Coturnix japonica: one gene and its partner. The protein of the gene in region 1 purifies or fractionates together with the protein of each later gene. This does not show direct contact. Links are inferred from orthologs where the notes say so. Each region holds a gene or a part of one and is shown on either strand. Other genes may lie near its edges.

Region 1 (10,827 bases):
AGGATTCTTCCTTCTGTGCCAGAAATGTTTTCTTTCAGGGAGTTCAGTTTCTCTGCACATCTCCTCTTAGATCAGTTATGAAGCTCAAGAAGCTCAGGATTGATGGACAGCTACTTTAAAACCCTGGACTGACACATAAAACATGGGACTCTACCAACAGGAAGGTCAGGTCCTCTCAGCAGCTGGGATATGGGGCTGGGATCTGAGGAAAACAATCCCAGGATCTTGTGGACAAAGCTGATCAGACCACGTCTCTAAGACTGTGAGATCTAATCAAGGCCACTGATGTTCAAAATACATTGTGTTGTTTAATGCTTCTTTCATCACATAAATCCCGAAGCAATTGACCAACCTGGGAGCAGTTCTTATGATACAGACAGGGAAACTGAGGCACAAACTGACAGTGCAGTTTTCCCAGTGCTAGATCCTTTGCCAGCAGTCAGCCCATAGCACACACCTACGTGGCCCTAAAGCTCAGCCCCCTGCTCCAGCCCACACACAGCACCTCCTCCCCCAGCATCACATCTGCTCAACATCACACAGTAAACACGAGCGTGAGTTACATCACATGGTTGTGTGGATGCACCAATGTGTTTACACATTGCCTGTGTCACCTCTGTTGCTTCTTTCCCATCAGTGAGAAAAAGCACTTTGTACACGCGGTCTTGACAAAACCCAAAATCCTTTACAGAGAACTGGAGCGATGGAGGGAGGAAACAGCAGCACTGTCCCTCAGCTAGAGGAAAAAGACCCAGCGATAGACCATACAGAGCGTTAGCATCAGAGTACAGTAAAACACCACAAAGCCCCAGAGCTGAACAGAAAGGGAGACAAGACTGGATTCTTCTGAATCTGTCCCCAGGGAAAGAAGAGTCTCAACTGTTCTTTTAACGCTGAGGTTTAGCTGAAGAATGTCAGAAGGGGAACAAAGATTGTCCTGTCCAGAGTGTGTAAGCAGGAAGGGAAAACAGACAGAAAAAAAGGTCAGTTAGCCATAGCAACATCCACTAAGCAGCGTCAGACATTTCAGATACAGCTACATGTTCAAGAAGCGTAACACGGTTATATCTCACAAAGCAATCTGTGCAAGTCCCATTTCAAAGAACGCCCAATGCAGATACACAGTGCTCAGCCTGGAACATACAGGTTCCATTAATACCTCTTAGGAGGTATTTCTACATAGATCCACACTTCCAGAAAGCCCTTCGTTTTTGTAACTGGAATTTAAACAAACAGAAATAGCTGCAGGCATCAGCAGAAATACATTATAGGCTGCCATGCCGCTCCTCCTTACTGATATCTGACCTTCTCATCTCAGCAGACATGCAATGCAGACATGTGAGAGCAGCTTTAGAATCCAGCTGGGGGTATTTCAGTGTGTTTCCCCAGAGACATTCTCCCTGAACTCCTTCACATTAAAGCAGGAGAACTGAGAAAAACAGGAGGATCCTAAGCAGAAGGTGCAGTAGATGGAGCAGACTGGGTCTACAGGAGACTCTTTGCCTGAGTGCTCTTCTTTTTGTTCCTAAATGTGTGACATTTCAGAGAACAGCTCTGCACTCAAACCCCATAAAAAATTACATCTCTGTGTCGAAGGGAGCTGTGAACAGGGAAGCTGCAATGAGATTGAACCACTGTGCCCCAGAAGGATTTATACTGTACAGTCCTGCTGGGAGTCACAGGCTCCAGTTTCTTAGAGGACTAAAATATCATCTCAAAACATGAATGATCACTTATGACTTCCCACCATGTTCCAACACCATTCACCAGTGAGTCATGTGAAACTGCTGGGCAGCTCAACAAATACACTATCCTAAAATCCCACTGGCTCAAATGCCTTTGTGTGAAGCTATCAGCATTGCTGACTTGCGAGCACTGCTTTTAGAAACAGCAGGGAAATGAGCCACTGGGTCTACTTTTCCCTTTCACAATGCACAAATATGAAAACAGCACCTACAACAGAAACACTGTGTATGTATAAAGCTGTGTAGGAAACCAATCACATTTATACGCCAGAAGAAAAATAAAGAACAAACGTGACCTACTGAAATCATTTGTATTGAGGCAGCTGCTGGATAAGACAAAGTGGAAAGGACAGGACAGCATAAAACACAGTAACAGGACCCATTTCAGAGGGGAGAAAGAAAACCAGTTCTACCTCTAGTACATGGCAGAAAGAATGAGGATCTATGCAAAGACAGCTACTGTCAGAGAAAGGCCAATAACAGCGAGACTCCTTGGCAAGATGGTACAGATGTTCACACAGAAGGATTATTCTGAAGGAACATCAAATGCTTTGGAATTGAAGTCACACATGCAAAATATCATCCAAATTTTATCCCACTTTTAAGCTGCCAAATACCTAATATTGAGAAAACTGAACCATCTTTACCAAGCACCTTGCAGTTCTAAAGCCAGGCTCAAGCTGCACCCAGCTGTTACAAACTTAAGGCACAGCAGTCAGCGAATCAGACTTCTGGGAGATTAACTACACCCAGCTTCTTTTTACCAGAAAAGACAACGCAAGGTCTTACCTATACAGTAAGGCATAACTCGCATGTGGACCTTCTAAACTTTGAATCACCTTACTTTCATCAAACGCTTCAAGAAATGTTCTATTTTTGTTTTCCTGATCATCTACAAAATCACATCTGCACCACAACGTCAGAACAGCAGAGAAATGTACCTGAGGCACCCCGATCCTCCTGCAGGCGTCCAAGAAGTTCTCCACGTTCCGTCTGCATTTCGCCATTGTAAGCTTAGGCTGCAAAAGAAGCAGGCAAGGTGCTCTTAATTGGAAGGATTTTGTATCTTAATGGAACTCTTAATAAAACTCTTTGCCAAAAAATATCACACCGCAGTAAGTTTGTATAATTCAAACCAGGTTGTGCTGCACTTTGCTTCAGAAAGGCAAGTTCTGAGCTTTCTGAAAAGCCAATTTATGAATACGGGATGATTTCTTAAGACAACTCTAACCTGCACTGTACTGATACACATAAAACAGGCTAACACTTTTAGTGACTGCAATGTGATAATTTAAGATATACCGAATGAAACATACACATACGTAGCACCTGTGCTGTGATTTCAGCACAATTTAATGATACGAAGCAACCTGGAGTCCATTCTGGGTTGCTACATTAAAAAGATACTGAAAATCTTGTTTCAATTAAGGAGGAGATACCAAATGAAGGCTAGATGAACCCAGAAGATGACGGAATACAACTGGCACAGCGACTTGCTGCATACAAGCCTATTGCAGATGAATTCACTGGCACTTCTCAAGTAAGTTTTTTCTGCGTAGTTGGCTTCCTCACCTCTACACAGAACTAGCACTGCACAGGCTCTGTCTTGTTTCTGTTCCCGAAGCTTATTCTTTTCTGATTAAAGAGACACGAGCTTCCTGTTCCTTCACACAAGCTCCCCACAATGTGCGCAGCAGCAGCCTCTGCAAACTCAGTGTTTTTCCTTCAGAGGGGGGAAAGCAGACGGTTGGGGCTCTTCCTCTGCCCCCTCAGCCTGCTATGTTCCTCACCAAGAAAGCAGGTTAAAGGCTATTGCTGCTTTCTTTCTCCTGCAGGATGGAGGGAGCACAAAGATCACATTGTGACTGAGGAAAGACACGATGCCTCTTCTGCTGCTGGAGCCGTCCAGCCACAGGCTGCCTCTTCTGTGACATTTATGACAAAGCCATGATTTAACTTGTAGCTCAGAATATTCACAGCACATAAAACCAGGCCATTGAGAAGATATTCTTGACAACTCAAGTCTTGTTGAATAGCAGCTGTCTGCATTTCTCTTAACGATTCCACAATCTGCCTAAAATACTGGCGTGTCCAGCTCAGTCGTTCTCAAAATAATGAAGACATCTCCTTGTTCACATAATTCCAAGCAGGAGGAACCACAATGATACAGTACACAGCCCTGTAAGTGCCAGTTCAAATTCCAACCAACACAAGGACTGACTCCAAAATAAGTAGAAGCAAACAATGTGCTTGTTTTAAACTCTTCCCGCAGCAAAAAAAGACTTCTTCCCCGTTTGTATAATGTTAAGATGATGTGAAGGTGCATCACGAGCAGTTTGTCTCTCCATTGTATTTACAGGTAGCTGATCCTAAACGTTTTCACTGAACTTTCTGACAGCAAAATACACGTTAATTATTTGGCTGACAGATCATGTAATTAATTTGTCGTTGTGTCACAGCTCTTCATCTCACTTTAATTCCGTGCTCTCCCAGCATGATACAGAACAATAACACACAGTAACGTATCAACTCCATTGCCTTAAAAACACTGCAGTCAGGTAAGAGGAACAAGTTCCTCCATTGCCCAACTTCTCTTGAACTTCTCCCCTTGCTCTGAACAGCCCCCATATATAACAAACTTTTTTCCCTCCTGTTATCACAAACATATGAGTGGATTACTTTGTTCCAGGAGACGGTGGTGCTCTCCAAGCATGTGAAAACACAGCTCAAGCGTGCTCTGCTGACACTCCTAAGCAGAGAAATTTGCAGTGCTGTGAAATGGATACAAAAATCATTTTGGCCTCTTTGCTTGCTCTTGCTGCTCTGTGTAGCAGGATCCCAAATAACGCAGAGAATCAGAAGTAAGAAGGTTTTAAATGAAACCGCAGATACTCTACAGACAGAACAGTCGTCATGTATGTTCACAAAGGAAAATAATGAATTACACATTTGCATGGATTACAGATCTTTGCTGGAAGGGTTTTGGACACCGACAAAACACTGTCATTCTGATATACTTACAACAGCAGGTGAGGGGACGTGGATGCTCGGGACAGACCGAGGACGGACGTGGTTAGCCAGGTGGCACAGAACAACGCCATCGGTGAGAGCTGCTCCAAGATCACTGGGCAGGGACACTTTCAGCCGTGACTCAATATTCTGTGCAAAATGAACATGGACACAGAAAGTAAGTGCTGGTTTCCTCTGACTGTTTCAGTCTGTGGAACATTTTATAAGAGCAGAAGCATTTGTGTTACAACTCCCTGCTTATTCACCAAACTGTTTAGAACAGCTTTCTGAGTAACACCAAGACAGGTTCTGCACTGCGCTGGGCCAGAGCTGAACACAATCTGGGAGCCCTTGAGTTCAATGATGAACAGTTTTCTTTGCACAGCACAGGGGATTATATATAGAAAAGATTTAATCTTACCTAGGAAGCAGAACAAGAGAGAGACTGCATGTAAAGCATTCCGAGATAAGAGATGAAAGACTAAAGCTGAGCTTTGTTTCATTTTACTTAAGAGAGCTTTCTCCTTTCAGAGAGAGCAGATTGACCCTTACTCTGACAATCTGCAGAGAAATGAGCTTCCTGGCTATCTGGGATGCTTACGGCTTTTAAAATCAGCTTTAGAAAGAGGAATTCTCATTTACTGAGAAAGTTCAGAGCGCTGAACCACTTCAAGGAATCCCTCCACAGACAGTGCAAGTTTGCCTGAGGCAAAGCAGAGCAGTACCTTAATGCCCTGTGGCATACTCAATATTAGCCACTGTCATGGGCACAAACCAGGGCATACTGGCCCTCAACAAACGAAAAGCCTGAATGTAGGGAATATTTTTGCCACAGATATTCTACAATTAACTGAAGATAAAGTGAGAGCCAACAGGTAGATTCACAGCACACAAGGAAAGCAGCAGCCTCTGTGTGCCACCTGCTTTTCTATAGGCTTTACAGCAAAGGTGAATTTTTAGAAAGAGATAAGAAAGAAAGACACTGAGGGAACTCCCTGCAAGCATGAAGGGCGATAGGGAAGAAAGCATGTGATCCTTCTAAAAGCAAAGATCACTAGCCAGTCAGAAGCAGGAGTTAGTGCTGTGTATTTCACTGCAGCTGAATCTAACTTTATCCACAATAAAAGCCAGCACTGCATCCATCAGAAAGATACACTCAGATTGCACAGCGCTATTCCATTTCGGTCAACTCCTCACCATAATTGGTTCATAATTGGTTCAGTGCAATCAGTCCAGAACACAAGGGCAGCTTTAACATGCTGGCACACAACACATTGACTGAGAGGTTCACTGGTTTTGTCAGCACTTACCTTACGTAGCTGCTCTATCAGCTCCAGCTCCTCCTCACGCTGCCTGGAGCTCTGCCTAACTCTGGTGTCTGCAGAATCATTAGCAGGAGACAAGGCACGGGAAGACGATGAAGCAACCACTGAAAAAACAGCATGAAGAGCAATGGGTAAGTATGGTTTGGCTGACTGCCCTCATCTGCTGCATTACACATGTACAGTGTTCCAGAACGGGTACAGGGCATCCCTTTTCACAAATCTGCTTCTTTAATAAGCCTATTAACCTAACAAACTAATGACCTGCTAATCTAAATGAGGTGTTTCCTAATACATCTCCTTTTCCCCTTAGATTTTGTTGTTTCTCTTGGCTACTAATCATTTCATTCCCAAAAAAAGAGGACAAAGTTTTGACAGATGAAATATGTTGAAAGAGTTCAGGCTTTCCACAGACTTTCCAGTTTTGTCTTATGCTGCTACACACAGTGCAAAATCCATTGAGCTGCCGTTATAACTCGTTGAAGGCCTGTGTGGCATTTCCTTGCTATTTTTTAGGCGTAAGGACAAGGACCAAGAAGAATAGATTCCCAACTTTTCACAATTACAATATTAATTCCACAAGTATTTATAATGCCACATGGCTACAAATGAAACCCTAAAATACTTTGTTGATAATGACCTAAAGTAACAGAGCAGCGAAAAACCTGGGTAAGGCCGATGTTAATAAAACGTAATGCAAAACGAGCTCATTGCTGAGTTACACAACCTACCTTTGTTTGCTTCATCCCTGACAGCTGCTCGGAAAAGGAAACTCTCGGGTCGCTGGGAAGGGTTTCTATAGGAAGGCAGGGCTGCATGACCAGGATGCGGAGGGGAAAGGTGGACTAAACAAATGTGGGAAGGCACAGGAAAGGAAATGAGGAAGAAGGAAACGGTTAGAGTTTAAATAGGAAATGGGTTCAGCAACGTGGTAATTAAAAAGAACAAACTAAATTTTAATATCATGACAAAATAATTTACGTGCATGCATGATAAAAGCAAAGGGCAGGAAAAGGCACTTTCAAGGACACTTGCCATGCAAAGCACATTCCACATACCACTTCCAACAACTGTTCTGACTGCTGCTGAATGAATCTGGGGGCCAAAGCCTACACTGTCCCTGAGGACACGCTCCAGCCCTGCTGCCTCTCCCCTCGTGTGTTTTCAAGGAGACCCAAATAAGAGGGTAAGCTCTCAAACACAGCAGTGCCACACACAGTGCTCCCTTCTCCTCATAGCACAAATGTGCGGGCAGATATTTTGACCTTGTTTTACAGCAGCTTTGCTTCCTTTCCCTGTTACCTGTCTGAGTGGTGGGTGAGCCAGGAGAGATGGTGGATCTGTCATCGCTCTGTAGGCAAAAAAGTAGAAGAGCATAAATGGTCTTAATGTGGAAGAAGTTGTGACTACGTTTGTACTATTTGCTGTGTCTGATAAGAGGCATCATCCATTGAAACATACTACAGAACAAAGAGCCAGCTGTGAAAAACACAACACGTTGTTCGTCTCATCTCTGCAGAAAGCAGCTAAACTTTTTTTTTCCTTTGCAGAAATGCCACAATTACTCTTTTCTGAGGAAGAAGTGGTGAAGCAGCACCGACAGCACAATGCTCTCTTTGTTTATCCCTCCTTCTCACCAAGATGTTCAATATTCTTTGCAGAGGGGGCACAGCAAAAACAGCTGATTAAAAAACATGCAAAACTTGCATAACAGCAGCATGGATAAGAATACAGAGCCTCTATGACACCTCTGACAATGCAAAACTCACTGGATATCCCCTTCCCTAGTGAAATACAACGTACTTAAGCACTGCAGTAAAACACAGACCAATGTCTCATTCAGAATAGCAGCTGCCACAAAAGAAAGTTATAGGACGCCTATACTCAGTGGGAAAAGCAAGCCAGAAAAGAATGCAAAAGAAATACTTCTGATAAACTCAGCTTGGTTACGAGAAAATCATATTGTAAATAAAAAGCAACATCAAAGCCAATGAGGAACCCCTTGGAGCAGATGGGTTACCATGCTTTTTAGCTTGGACACAGCCTGAAGCTAAGATGAGGTCACAGCTACTACAATCTAACCAGGTAAATCAGATTCATACCCTACCTGAACTTCTGACCAGAAGCTGACATACCAACACCTGTAAAAGCAGATGTGTGGACCCAAGTTTTTTGTTGGATTTATTGGTGAATGATAATAGCAAGAGATACCTTGGCAGGACTGAGGGCAGAGGTGTTAGGCAGGGCAGTAGCACAGCTGTCTTGATTCAACCCTGAGAGGGACTGAATGCAGAAAGAAAGAGAAGGCAGCAGCAGTGTTAGCAAGCAGCTGGTAGGGCACACACACAGGTAGAACTGAGTAGCCAAGTCAGGATGGAGGAGGTGATCATGGTTACGTGCTCAGAAACACTTAAAAAGCAAAGGACAGACACAACAGGTATTTACTTTTCAAACTAAGGTTAAAGCTTTCCTGTCCTCCTGAACTTTCTGGCTAATGAGTTTGGCAGGTGAAACTTTCCTTTTTTACACAGCACAAAGTGGCATCAGAAGCAAAGCTAAAGGACACACGTTTGTTCTGCCACCAGTACCTAATGCTGGTCTTTGTGAATTACACATGGAAGGAGATGTTACAAACAGGGCAAACCTTACACAGACACCTTCATGCCACACACAGGCAGCAGCTGATCCTCAGAACAGCCTCCTCTGCAGCAGTGCAGAGCTAACTTTTTTTTGCTGTTTTTGTTTGCTTGCTTTACAAAACATTATTTCAGCAAATGTAACATCAGCTAATATAGCAAAAAGCAAAATAAAGCAAGTGGTGGCGGTCTGTGACAGCAATGCAACTTTATACCTGTACAACATGAGCAAGACAACCTTGACACAGACCAACAGGCAGCAGTCACGATCCACAAACCCAGCACTGGGCAAAGGGGGGAACACAGCACACAGAGGGTAAGAGAAGCACAACAGCAACACAGTGCATGCTCTTCACCTGTTTGCGAGTCCCTGGCCTTCTCTTAATGGTATTGGTGTTATTGTCAATCTCAAACACAAAGAGAGGCTCAAAGCCATTCTGTCAGGGACAGCGAGGAAAGAAAGGGAGGGAAGAGAGGAAGAAGTGAGGCAAAGAATAACTGTAAGAGAAGGCAGTTGCAATATAAGAAGAATCAGGGTGCTGCAATTCAGACTTACACACTACTGCACACGCTGCTCTTCATTTCTAGGTCTAGCAATGAAGTTAGAGAAACGTCCCCAGCCAGAAACAACTTTAGATAGAGGGAATGCCAAAACAGAGCCCAGCTGTGACTCCACGCTAACTAAAAATAAGGCTGCTTTACAACAAATTGATTGTCAGTTGTCTGAGCATACAAATGGATGGCAACTGCCTGAGAGAAACCTCCAGGGCACAAGTAAGCATAATCCAAGTCGTGCTTCCTTTACTCACGCTGTTATTACTTGTAGCTTCCTGGTGCCCAAAAGGCTGAACGCACAATGTCTCAGAGATACCAGTATTAACTGTGATGATGGTCCCAGGTCACATTTCAGACCATGAGGCAGCCCACAGCAGCAGTGACATGAGTGTTGCACAACAAGGTCACAGCAGCTGCCTGGTGCCACTGGGTATTTCACAGGCTTTGTGACAAACTGAGAAGCAGTTTGTGTGAACAATAGTGGTACCTTTTGTACCTGTCTCCCACTGACTCACCTTGTAACGTACAGTAGTAGAAGGGAGAAAAAGCTATCTGGGGAAAGATGAGATTCAAAAGCAGTCAAGATTGAAATCATTACCCCAGGACTGAAGCCTTGATGCTGTATTAACAAGCACCCCCAACTGCAATGAGAGTACTGTAGCGAGAATGGCAAATGGGATTTGAGTAATACAAGACTGAGTTACACTGTAGGCTTTCTCAGAGAGGCCAGGGACTGTATTCCTTCCGCAAAGGCTCAGTTATAAACCAACACAGTGAAATCCACCACAACACACACTCAAGTCCTATGGCCAAACTCCACTTCGCATCGAATCACAAGGATGTAGAAGGAACAAGCAAGCAAACTGTAAATGCCCATGGAAGGCATAGAAAGCCTTTTTGTGAGCTGAAACAGACTGCCTTTGAAAGCACCTACCAATGGAAAGGAACAACCAGAGCAAACTGTGCAACACAAATGCATTTCAATTCGTGTTAAACGGCAACAGGCAGGAGCAGCAAAAGAAATGTGATGAGGTTTTAAGAGGAAAATCTCAACTCAAATTTGGCTTTTAAGAATTTTTCTGTTTTTCAAGCAATCCGGGGGGCGATTCCTTGCTGCTAAACAAGTTTCTGCCATCCAAGATACATAAGTGACATAAAAAGAACTGCTGCAAATTCATGAGCTGCCCCGAGCTACAAGTTCCAGTTACAACAGTCACTACAAGCAGCTGTCCTGGCATCTGTCATCATTAGACACAGCGTGCACTTCCACTGCAGCACAGATCTGCAACTTGTACTTCCATACTTGAGCAAACCAGTGTTTCATCACTGACCCCACAATGTATTGAATGCAGAGTTTAGGGCTGCTGAGAAAAGGTTAAGAAATCCAAAGAAAATGTAATACACAAACTACTACTTTCAAATATGGTTCCAACTTTCCCTGTCAGCCCGGCCACTTTTTTCCCCCAATCCCTCTTTTGTGCAGAGATTTAATGTGGATGAAGGAACAGAAAAAGCCACCGTGGATGGAAGCTCAGCAAACTGACTGCTAAAAATCCCAAG
Region 2 (10,827 bases), on another chromosome or scaffold:
TCTTACCGTTCAACGTTTCCTCACATCTTTTAATCCAAATTGTAAAGGTATCATCTACATCTAGAAGAGATCAAACACATTAGCATTACAACTCTTTGAGTAATGCACTCAATGCATAAAGAACAGTTCCTTTCAACTCCCAAGTTGGAACAAATTCATCCCAAATTCACATTGATTTATTAAATCATGGTATTATTTCCAAGTACTTTCATGTCAACTCTCTCATTCCAGGTAATTTTTAAGTTTAAGTTTAAATTAAGTTTTAATTTTCTACAGCTCCACTATTTAACTCTGACACACTTAATTAATTTCTAAGACACTAGGCTTTCTCCCTCCCCAACCCCCTCAACTGACCCATATACGACATTGCTTTCCAATTGAACTCTACGTAACTTTTACAGAGTGAGAAGTATTGCTTATAAGCACTAAGAGTATAAGCAGTAAGTATTGCTTATTGCTTAGAAGCACTTCTCCATTCTCTTTTCCCAATCACATGCTGCCCCTCTAGAGAAATATAGAGACCCCCCCCCCCATGTTCTGTGGGCAGCCCACAGTTGGTGTGAGTGTGCACAAACACCAGGCATTTTCCCCTGGTGGTTTCACACATACTTTACACGCACATCTACAGTTAGAAGGATGTTGGAAATAAGTAGGTGCCAATTTCACTTTGCGAATCAAAACCACAGAAGAGTTTATTATTAAGATCACGATGATTTTAGGAAGAAGCTCCCAGGAGGAAATGAACTCACTGGAAAACAGCTAAAAAGGTAGCAGAGCGTGCATCATTTCAACACTATTCCCAGAAAAACCCTTCACAAGCAGGAATGCTTAAAAAAATAAAGCTGCAGCAATGACCAACTAATAAGTACAGATAAGCCGCCATCTTTTTACAATAGCTGGAATTCACCTTGAGGAAGTTCATGCAGCCAACTTCCCTGCAGAGGGTCTGAAGAAGCTTAAAAGAAAGCCAATAGAAAACACGCACGCAAAACAAAATGTGGCTCCACTGCAGTTCTACAAAGCATTCACCTCAACTCTTTCATTTTAAGGCGTGTCATATAATTGCTACCCACTGCAAAGGGAAACAGAGTCAAAGGGACGTAACCCACTCTCCCAGTAAAGAACTTTAATATAACTTACTTTGAGAGTACCGCTCAATGCATTTCTGGGAAGTATGAACAGACAGAGATACGCAATCAAACACTTGAGCTTCAGATCTACTTCCTCAACTAAGCATGCTGAAAAAGGCAGATGCTCCCTCTGCTTGCATGTATTTGCCACACTGCATGTTGTGAGTAAAGTCCTATTAGACCTCACTGTAGCAAATAGCAACTAATCCACTTGTGCTGCATACATGGTAGCTACTGCATAACTTGTATGTAAGATGCTCAAAGCTGAAGTCAGCTTCTAGCATTTCTCATGCTTTTAATAGAAGTGAGTATCATTTGGTAGAACTACATCTCATGGAATCTAGAGATTTGCTTATCGATAGCATAAATCACCTCTTTCTCTGAGAAACTGCACTCTGACACCATCCTTCTGCGCAATCTTGATCATGATAGTCCAACCAATTACTTTGAGATTCTGGTTTTGTACCAGTCATTACCTTTAAAAAAAAAAAGAAAAAATAGTTGCTCTAGAGAATGATTTAAAAGCAAGTAAAGAAAACCAAACAACCACAACCCACAATTCCCCCACACAACAGTGAAAGCAGGAACGCTGGCATTGCATAGTTCAAAGCAAGGGCAGAGAAAAAGAAAAAACCCCAAAGGGGGAGGGGCCCCCCCCAAAAAACCCCCCCCCCCTTCCAGGCAGAGCAGTTACAAATTTGAATAGAAAATGATTAATCAATGAATTTATGAAAATTGGATCAGCTTACCATTATGTTATAAGCCTGCCTTCGAATAAATTAGAAATAGCACGTTTTTGAACTTCAGGATCTTAAAGCATCCCAAAATTCAGTTACAGCTACATTAAGGGCCACTCAATGGAGCCAAGTCTTTGAATTAAGCTCATAAACCAGAAAACAGAAAGCGTAGAATTGTTACTAACTCCAATTCACACCCACCCCAGCGAGAACAAAAGTCAGTGACACTGTGTGAGGAACAGAACTCAACTCAGAAGAAACGTTCACAAAGTGGCAGTCTACAGAATTTTTACAGTCATTATCTTGTATCTCCAATGCCCCAGGTCCAGCAAAGAACAGGTAGACAGTTATTTTAGTTTCTCACAAGCAATACTTGAAGTCAACTTACTTGATCTTGGATGACAGAGGTTGCTGTTTGTATTCTAGACGAAGCATATTGGCATTGGAAAGATGAAGGGTTAATATAGAAGAGGGGGGCAAATTTCAAAGGTTTTGGTTTTAATTTTTTTTTAAGGGGATACAGTATATAAGAACAAGGATACAAGATCATCTTCATACTGATCACATTTCTTCTGTATGTGCATTAACTTATGGAAGAAAGAAGAAGATTCTTCACTTACGTTGTGACAGGACTTTAAAAGTTTACCATTTACAGACTGACAACCGCACACGCTCAGTGTCTCTTACCAGATTACACAGCCACACGGTTGGAAGATAACAACTAGATCAAGCTTTTAAATTTCTTTCCTTCCTTGGCTAAGAAACAGAGCCTGAAAAGGGACCACACAGCAGGCCCGTGTTGCTTCATCTTGTGAGTCCAACAAAGGTAAACCTGAAAATAGGTCTGAGAACGAACAGCAGAGTTTTTAATAAACATAAAAACCCCTTCAAAATCGTATGTCTTTAATATACACCCCACCTTATTTTCTGTTACAGTTTCTCCCTCTCTCTAATTACTAAGATAGTGTATTACATTTAGTTATATATAATATTATATTAAAAGGCAAAGAGTCATTTTGGGCGTTCAAAAAAGGTCAATTTTGACATTTTTTTTTTAAGATTGATCAATTTAGAAAATATACTTGTCTGAGGTACAGCTGAAAAAAGTCTGCAGAAACCCACATGGTGAGGCCACCAGAGAAAAAACCATTTCGAGCGGCCGTGAAAGTTGGAGCAAGATGAAGCTGATATGAGTTTGGTGACCACAGGACTTGCCACAGTTAAAACACCTGAATGAGCCGCACAGTTAATTTCCAGACTTGAATGTCATTGCCTACAGTCCTACAAGCTGTAAAGGCAGGCACTTGAATTCTACAAGCATGTTGAGACATGATTCAAGAACAATATTAACGGAAAAACACCTTTACCGCTTCTGTCTGTGAGGCCTGCAGGGGAAAAAAGACGACACAAAAGAGATGCCATGGTCAGGAAAAAAGGTGACCCAACACGACGCCCAGGGCCCCGTCCAACCTGGTCTTGAACACCTCCAAGGACGGGGCATCCACAACCTCCCTGGGCAGCCTGTTCCAGGGCCTAACCACAAGCCCATGCAATACAAGCAGAAAAATCCAGCCCTACTATCCTAGAAGATCTGCCTCTTCTCATGCATCCCAGCACATCATAATCTGAGGGAAGGACTTTTCCTCTCAGCAATTATTCTCTCAAAGAACTTACCAACAACACTATGAATAACTTTCAGAGAGCCTTAGTCTTCACTCGGACATATATCTGCTTTAAAAATTTAACCCATTCCATCTTTACTAAATTAAATAGGTGGTCACAATGAAATTTCTCACATGTATTTGTCCTAAAACCCACATCACATTCCCAAGATGAACAGCAGACCTTCCATCAGCAAGGAACAGAGGCATGTAATGGTGTACGTCTGCCCCCTTGTGTGGCAATGAAGCCAGCCCTGCCTGCACAGAATTCCCTGCTGCAGCAATTCTCTATCAGGCACCAACAGCTCAGTCTGCTCTCTTTATCACCTGCCTTACAATACGTAGCTAATTTTCCCCATTGAGCTTTGCTCGTTTTACTCTTCCTACATTTAACTGGAAGTTAATTGCTTTGCCAAAATGCTTCCATTCACAATTATTGTCATCCGGGAGCCATCAACCATCTCCACAGAACCTCGAAAGTAAATTTGCCAGCAAGTTGGAAAACAGGAAAGCTAAAAATCTATGCTTTAAAGAAAGCCTCCAAGAACCTCCCTCATCTCACACCAGGTCACAGAATCCTGCGATGCTGAAGGACATTTAGAAGCAAGCTTCAGAGGTAGAAGCAATCAGAAGCAATCAGGGAAGCTTTAGAAGGATTTCAACTGGGCAAGCAGCAAAACAACACATGAACAGGTAGGTTTTCTAGAATCATAGCATCACAAGGTTAGAAAGGACCTACAACATCATCGAGTCCAACTGTCCTCCCATTACCATGGCTACCATATATACATATATGAGTTTCCTGCAAATACATAAGAGTGGGAGGGGGCACAATCACCAATCAGGAAGAACCATAACCAGTTATACCCCCATCAAACTCCACTTTTAGATCAGAGGAGCAGATTACTTTGCCTCTCCCAAACAAGCAATTCCATTTTCGCTAAAGCTTTCAGCCTCAGCCATCGGTGTGGATGATAGAACTGAAAGATCCCAGATGATGACATTGCTTATCAGAGCAGTGCACTTTGCTCTGAGTAACCTTTCAAGATGCTTTTAAGATTTCCTTCTGCTGTTGAGAAAGGGAATTGAATGAGGTGAATTTTATTTGGTGTGGGGAATAGGAAAAAAGATAAAGGAACTGTAACCATCTAGAAATTACTTTGTTATATGCTTCCTAGGGTCTTCCACCAAAGTTTTCCATGCTGAACTATTTCTTTCCTGCTTCTAGAAGGAAGTCATATTATTAGAAAGCTCTAATTCTCCCCCAGATAATGTGTGCAGTTCCAACTGCCAACACTTTATATCCTTAAAGAGCTCATACACATGCCTCTGTTATGCAGTGAGAGCTGAAATCCACTCTGTCAGGTTGAATGCTCACTATGCTGTATGCCCTTTCTGAAGGCCAGCCCATCAGGTAGTTTAACAACTACAAATCCCAATTACACACAATTCAGCTCAAAAACCTTCCTGTGATGCTTAGTGCCACACCATTGCCACTATTTACCTGCAAGACCAATGGAGAGGAATTGGAAAACAGGGAAACACCCCCTTTCTGCAAGGCAAGAAAATGATACACTACCAGCTAAAATTTCCATTTGCATTTTTAAGCAGTTTTACACTTCCATAGAATCATAGAATTACCCAGGTTGGAAAAGCCTTTGAAGATCATCAAGTCCAACCACGGCCTAACCAGAACCCTAACTCTAATAACCCTCCACTAAATCATATCCCTGAGCACCACATCCACACGGCTCTTAAAGACAACCAAATGTAGCAACTGCACAAGTCTCTCCAGAAGTCAGACCTGATCCAGGTATCCCAAGTCAGGCACCTAATTCCTAAGCCTTCAAAAAACCAAAAGCCAACAACTAACACGGTCTCCATTTTCAGCTAATACGTTAAGAGAATTTCATTTATCAGCAAAGGAATGCTGTGCACACAAGAAATGGTAATACTTACTGTCCAACTTCTGTCCCTCTTTGAAAGACTCTAAAGCAGATGCATAGTTTTTGATATGGTATTCTCCTAACCTGACGTGAAGAAAGAAAAACCACAAGGAAACTGCAATTACTTTCTAATCTAATTCACATCCTGAAGATTACAACATCCCCACATGTGCTGGAATTTAAATCACCTATGAAATCTGTTTTTTGAATAGTTGGGATGTTAACATCATCACCCCTCCCTCCAAAGAAAACAACAAACCACACCAAAAGATCCATTTTATCTTATAACCACAGCTTTATTACAAAGGAGTTACAAGCAGCATGGCATGGAATTCACTCATTCCATAGAGCAATAATGCAAATACTGTTATTGTCCTGAAGTTTATCAGAATACTGTCAGAGCACCACATATGATACGTACCCTTTTCTAAGAAGTGCTATGGCATTACTGGGGTTGAGCTCTAGGGACTTCTTTGCATCTGCAACTGCATCTGTTGGAAGTCAGTTTACAGGTGAAGATCATTATAACGGTATGAAAAGCAATGAAATGCAAGTATTTCAGTACGCCTCAAAAATATATATATCACTATTATGTTAGCTTTCTTAGCCTGCATACAGATTAAACTGTCTGAATTTAATTCACTCAATGCTATGGATGAAGTCTTCAATCAGCTATAGAGCTCCACAAAAGATGAAGTGGTGACTTTCACTCTGTCAGATCCTCTACTGTAGTCGAACTTGACCCCATCAATAGAACTGAATACAGGTTGAAAGACCTTGAAAGATCATCAACTCAACACACCCTAACATAAACACCCTCTGCTAAATCATATCCTGAGCATCACATCCAAACACGGCTCTAAACACATCCAGGGATGCGTCAACCACCTCCTGGGGAGCCTAATTCCAGTACCTAACACTTCTGGGTACAGAAGTCTCCTAAATCACAACCTAAACATGCCTGGCGCAACTTGATGGCCATTTCCCTCTCGTTGCACCAGTGAGAAGAGACCCTGCCACTCTTCACTTAAAACCTTTAAGGTACGAATAAGGCGATAATTCCCCTCAGCCCTTTTCCCAACTAAACAGCCCAGCTCCTTAGCCTCTCCTTGAGGTCGATTTTCCAAGCCTTCACGGGAGCCTCGCTGCCTACTGGACCTCTCCTGCACCTCATGTCTTCCTGTGCTAGGTGCCCAAAGCCCCCCTGAAACACAGTACGTCAAGGTGAGGCCCACAATGCCGAGTCCAGTGGCAGGATGACTTCCCTAGTCTGCTTCACCACATTCCTGATACAAGCCAGGATGCCTGATTTATCTACTTATTTTGCTTAATTGTTGACAGGCAATTTAGGCTAAATGTTAATTCAGTTAACCAAATAACACCTGGGTGGCAGGTTATCACCTTCCTACCACAACTGGATTTCAGTGTCTACCAAAAAGAGCATGTAAGGTTGGAAGAGTTTACAACATAAAGCTTAAAATCACCATAAAATCTAACCTGAAAATAATGTTCCAAGACAGTTCTGTGCTAAACTCAAACAGCAACTGGGATTGCAGAGCATCAGATTCGGCTGCAAGTTTTGCAGATATAAAATAATCAAAGATAAGGAAGGCTCTCGAGTACATCCTAACTGCAAACAGCAAACTAAAGTTAACAGCAACACTGTTAAAAGCTAGTCATCTAAACTATAAAGAATTTCAAATACGACCTCTTAAGAGGATTGTCAGTTGCCTGAAGATGTTTCACAGTGTAGTTCTGTAGAAGAATGTGGGCATAAGCTCGTTGACAGTAATATTCGGCATCATCTGGACTCCTTTCCAAAGCTCTTGTCAGTTCTCTGTGAAGAAATCCGAAACCGCACCCTTGGAAGATCCCAATAATCTAAAAATGGACTCTGTCAAGTAAGATGTCAGAAAAAAAATACCCTGGACCAGCTCACTGAAGGACCTAATTGACAGTTTTACCTGAAAGCTAACGCCAACTGAGGCATAAGAACTTGCAGTTACACACGCTATTCCTTGCAGAAAGGGAACATCACAGAATCACAGAAACGGTTGAAGGGACCTCAAGGAACATATTTCCAACCCTCGCCTGGCAGGGCCACCAAACATACAACTTTTAACAGACAAGGTGCCAGGGCGCTCAACCTGTCTGAACCTCCAAGGACGGATCCACAAACCTCCCTGCAGTCTTCCAGGCTAACATCTCCTAGAAAAGAACTTCCCCCTAACATCAATGCCTTAAATAGGAATCTGAATGCTCAGGTAATCCTGTATGTTCCAAAAACCTTCCTATAATTCTCAGCACATCTGAAGGGAAAAAAATACCTCGCTATGAGGGTGAGACAGTAACAGTACGGTTACCATGTTTGCTAACTTTGCTCAATTTCTATTCAGAATTTGGCAAGCATGAGGGTAGCTAAGATATAGACTTTAAGCCTGCACAAATGTTAGCACAACACAGCTGCTAGAACTCACCAAGCCAGAGAAAAAAGGAAAAGTAGCAGGGCCTGTCTGAATTCAGATTGGTATCCTGCTCTCTTTCATTTATATGCTTACACTAGGAACTACGTGGCCACAACAGCTTCTTCCAGTGGCAGCATCAGGTGTACAAAACTCCATAGAAGTACAGCACAAACATCTAAAACCTCAGAGGTCTCTGAAGAAACAGGAGGCAGAAAGAGCTACAACAAAAAGCATCACTAGATCTGACTGTAAAGACATGATTAAGGATACATTCAAGATCAGACATCATTCGTGGTAGACAGATATTCTAGACAAGAGAAGCATGAGGAGACCCAACAGGATCACGGAACACTGAGAAGTGAAGTACAACTTTTGTTTTGAGACACTCCTCCAAACAAACCATACATTACAGCAACTCGAACAGTCAGCCACAGGGCAGCTGACAGGCAATTGTAGGGGTTGGAAGGGACCTCTAGAGATCATCGAGTCCAACCCCCTGCCAAAGCAGGCTCCCTACACCACATCACACAGGTAGGCGTCCAGGTGGGTCTTGAATATCTCCAGAGAAGGAGACTCCACCACCTCCCTGGGCAGCCTGTTCCAGTGCTCCGTCACCCTCACCTCACAAGCTTATGGCTTTATCATCATAGAATCACAGAACGGCCTGGGTTGAAAAGGACCTCAAAAATCATGCAGTTTCAACCCCCCCCGCCATAGGGTTGCAGCCTGTAGACCAGCCTGCCCAGACCCACACCGTTCACTGTTAAAACACAGATAATGAGCAGCCAGTTGTACCAAACCCAAGACCTCAGCCAGGCCCCACACACAGAGGGCAGCACAGCGAACCACCCCCTACACACAGCGATGCGGCATCACCCCTATAAGACCCCCTATAAGCTCCCTCCCACAGCTCTCACCCGCGCCGCCGCCGTCGGATCCCGATCGATGTCCGCGTCCGAGAACCTGCCGAGGAAACACAACGCCGTGAGGAGGCGGGGATGAAGAAGGAGCGGGCAGGGAGGAAGGAGCGGGGTGTTGAGCTGGGTGCTCACCGAGCCGCTGCTTCTGCAGCCGCCGCCATCCCTCCCCCAGGAAACTTCTGGAGCCGCCACAAGGCCGCAACCACCGCGCGTGGCCTGACGGGACCAAGCGGCGCCACAAGCTCCTCCCGCCCACGCCATCGCTACGGAGGCACGCAACCTTCCATAGAGTGTGTGGAGGACTGTCGGGACAGAGCGGCGCGCAAGATGGCGGAAAGCGCGGTGCGCATGCGCTGGGTGTCCGCCATGATGGAAATGGCTGCCTGTCCCCGTCTGAAATAGAAAGTTCTCATTTGAGATGTACCTCACATCACACAGTGCTGACTCATGTACCAGCAGCAGTGCCAGCGCGGCCCAGCTGCAGGGAGAGCTCTGCCAGATAAACCTCCAGCTGGTGGCCAGCCCTTCCCGAAAATGGGATTACAGCTGTGGGTGTTTGCAGGTCAAAACATAACAGCATGGAAGGGCAGGGCATGGAGCCATGCAGTGAGCTAAAGCAAGGCTGCTTAGATGCCAAACTGTGGCTGAGAACTGCTTGTGAGATGGCTTTAATTCATTCCATTCAACTAGACTGAGCTGCTGCCACCTCCAGTGACAGAACATTAGTAGTGAGGTTCACAGAATCACAGAATGACCCGGGTTGGAAGGGACCTCAAGGATCATGTAGTTCCAACCCCCCTGCCTGGCAGGGCCACCAAGCATACACATTTACTAGATCAGGTTGCCCAGGGTCCTGTCCAACCTGGTCTTGAACACCTCTCTGAGCTACACGACATCCCAAGATCACAATGAAACATGGGGCTGTTTATAACATATTAGGAAGTGATAGAAAAGGAGGAGTTGTTGGTTGAGGGGTCTGGAGCACAGGCCTTACGAGGAGCGGCTGAGGGAGCTGGGATTATTCAGCCTGGAGAAGAGGAGGCTCAGGGGAGACCTTATAGCTCCCTATAACTTCCTGAAGGGAGGTTGTAGTGAGCTGGGGGTTGTCCTCTTCTCTCCTGTAATCAGTGATAGAACTAGAGGGAATGGTTTAAGCTGCGCCAGGGGAGATTCAGGCTGGACATTAGGAAGTATTACTTCTCAGGGTAGTCGGGCACTGGAATGCACTGCCCAGGGAGGTGGTAGAGTCACCGACCATGGGAGTGTTCAAGAAATGTTTGGATGTGGTGTTGATGAATATGATTTAGCTGGGAAGTATTGGTAATGGTTGGACTAGATGATCTTCTAGGTCTTTTCCAACCTTGATAATTCTGTGATTCTGTGATTCTCTGTGAGTTGAAGGCCACTTCAGCTTTCCTTTGAGCTCCCAAAGCACACAGTGCTGCTGTTTCAAAGGACACCATGTCACCACATGCCCACAGCACAGAGGGTGTGTTCAAGTCTGTTCTGAAGTGATTCATGCATTGCTCATTTGCTCAGTCCCACCACCAACGCACATCCATTAATCATGTCCTATTTCTCAGCGTATTTTGGTTATACACGCAATGATCGTCAAAACCACGGTAATAATCCAAAAGCATTTCAGAATAAGTGCAGAAAAAAATAAACATTTTTTTTCCATTTGATTTATTTTCATAATAAACCAATTAAAAATACAAAAGGCAAGAACCAAAGGTTCAGAGGGGCTCCATCATTTAAAAATTTGTCTTTAAATACAAATTCACTCTGTAATATGAATACATATAATATTAAACCTCTAAACATAATGATCTTATTTTCTTCTATCAAAAATTTGTATGGAAACAAATTAGCTGAAAAAAAAAACAACTTGCTTATTGAATGTACATTATTTACAATCAAAAAGAACTCTTAGCAGTATTAATCTCAGAATATCTGCATAAATCGTAT

The links. Proteins that work in one complex are often made in the same cells at the same time.
Region 2: the proteins of LRCH3 (region 1) and SUGT1 purify together in Homo sapiens (co-immunoprecipitation; 3 studies listed by BioGRID and IntAct, counting the BioPlex papers as one, with this or other methods). This does not show direct contact. The link is inferred for Coturnix japonica from reciprocal best matches to the Homo sapiens genes LRCH3 and SUGT1.

What each region holds. Positions count from the first base shown.
Region 1 is NC_029524.1:13,147,266-13,158,092, reverse strand, and holds part of LRCH3 (DISP complex protein LRCH3), read right to left. Parts: intron 9,150-10,827; coding exon 9,069-9,149; intron 8,360-9,068; coding exon 8,288-8,359; intron 7,428-8,287; coding exon 7,379-7,427; intron 6,922-7,378; coding exon 6,808-6,921; intron 6,184-6,807; coding exon 6,065-6,183; intron 4,905-6,064; coding exon 4,767-4,904; intron 2,765-4,766; coding exon 2,687-2,764; intron 938-2,686; coding exon 737-937; 3' UTR 1-736. UniProt on the Homo sapiens protein: As part of the DISP complex, may regulate the association of septins with actin and thereby regulate the actin cytoskeleton.
Region 2 is NC_029516.1:148,378,975-148,389,801, forward strand, and holds the start of SUGT1 (protein SGT1 homolog), read right to left. Parts: upstream 9,122-10,827; 5' UTR 9,021-9,121; coding exon 8,992-9,020; intron 8,903-8,991; coding exon 8,857-8,902; intron 7,311-8,856; coding exon 7,221-7,310; intron 5,967-7,220; coding exon 5,896-5,966; intron 5,559-5,895; coding exon 5,488-5,558; intron 61-5,487; coding exon 7-60; intron 1-6. UniProt on the Homo sapiens protein: May play a role in ubiquitination and subsequent proteasomal degradation of target proteins.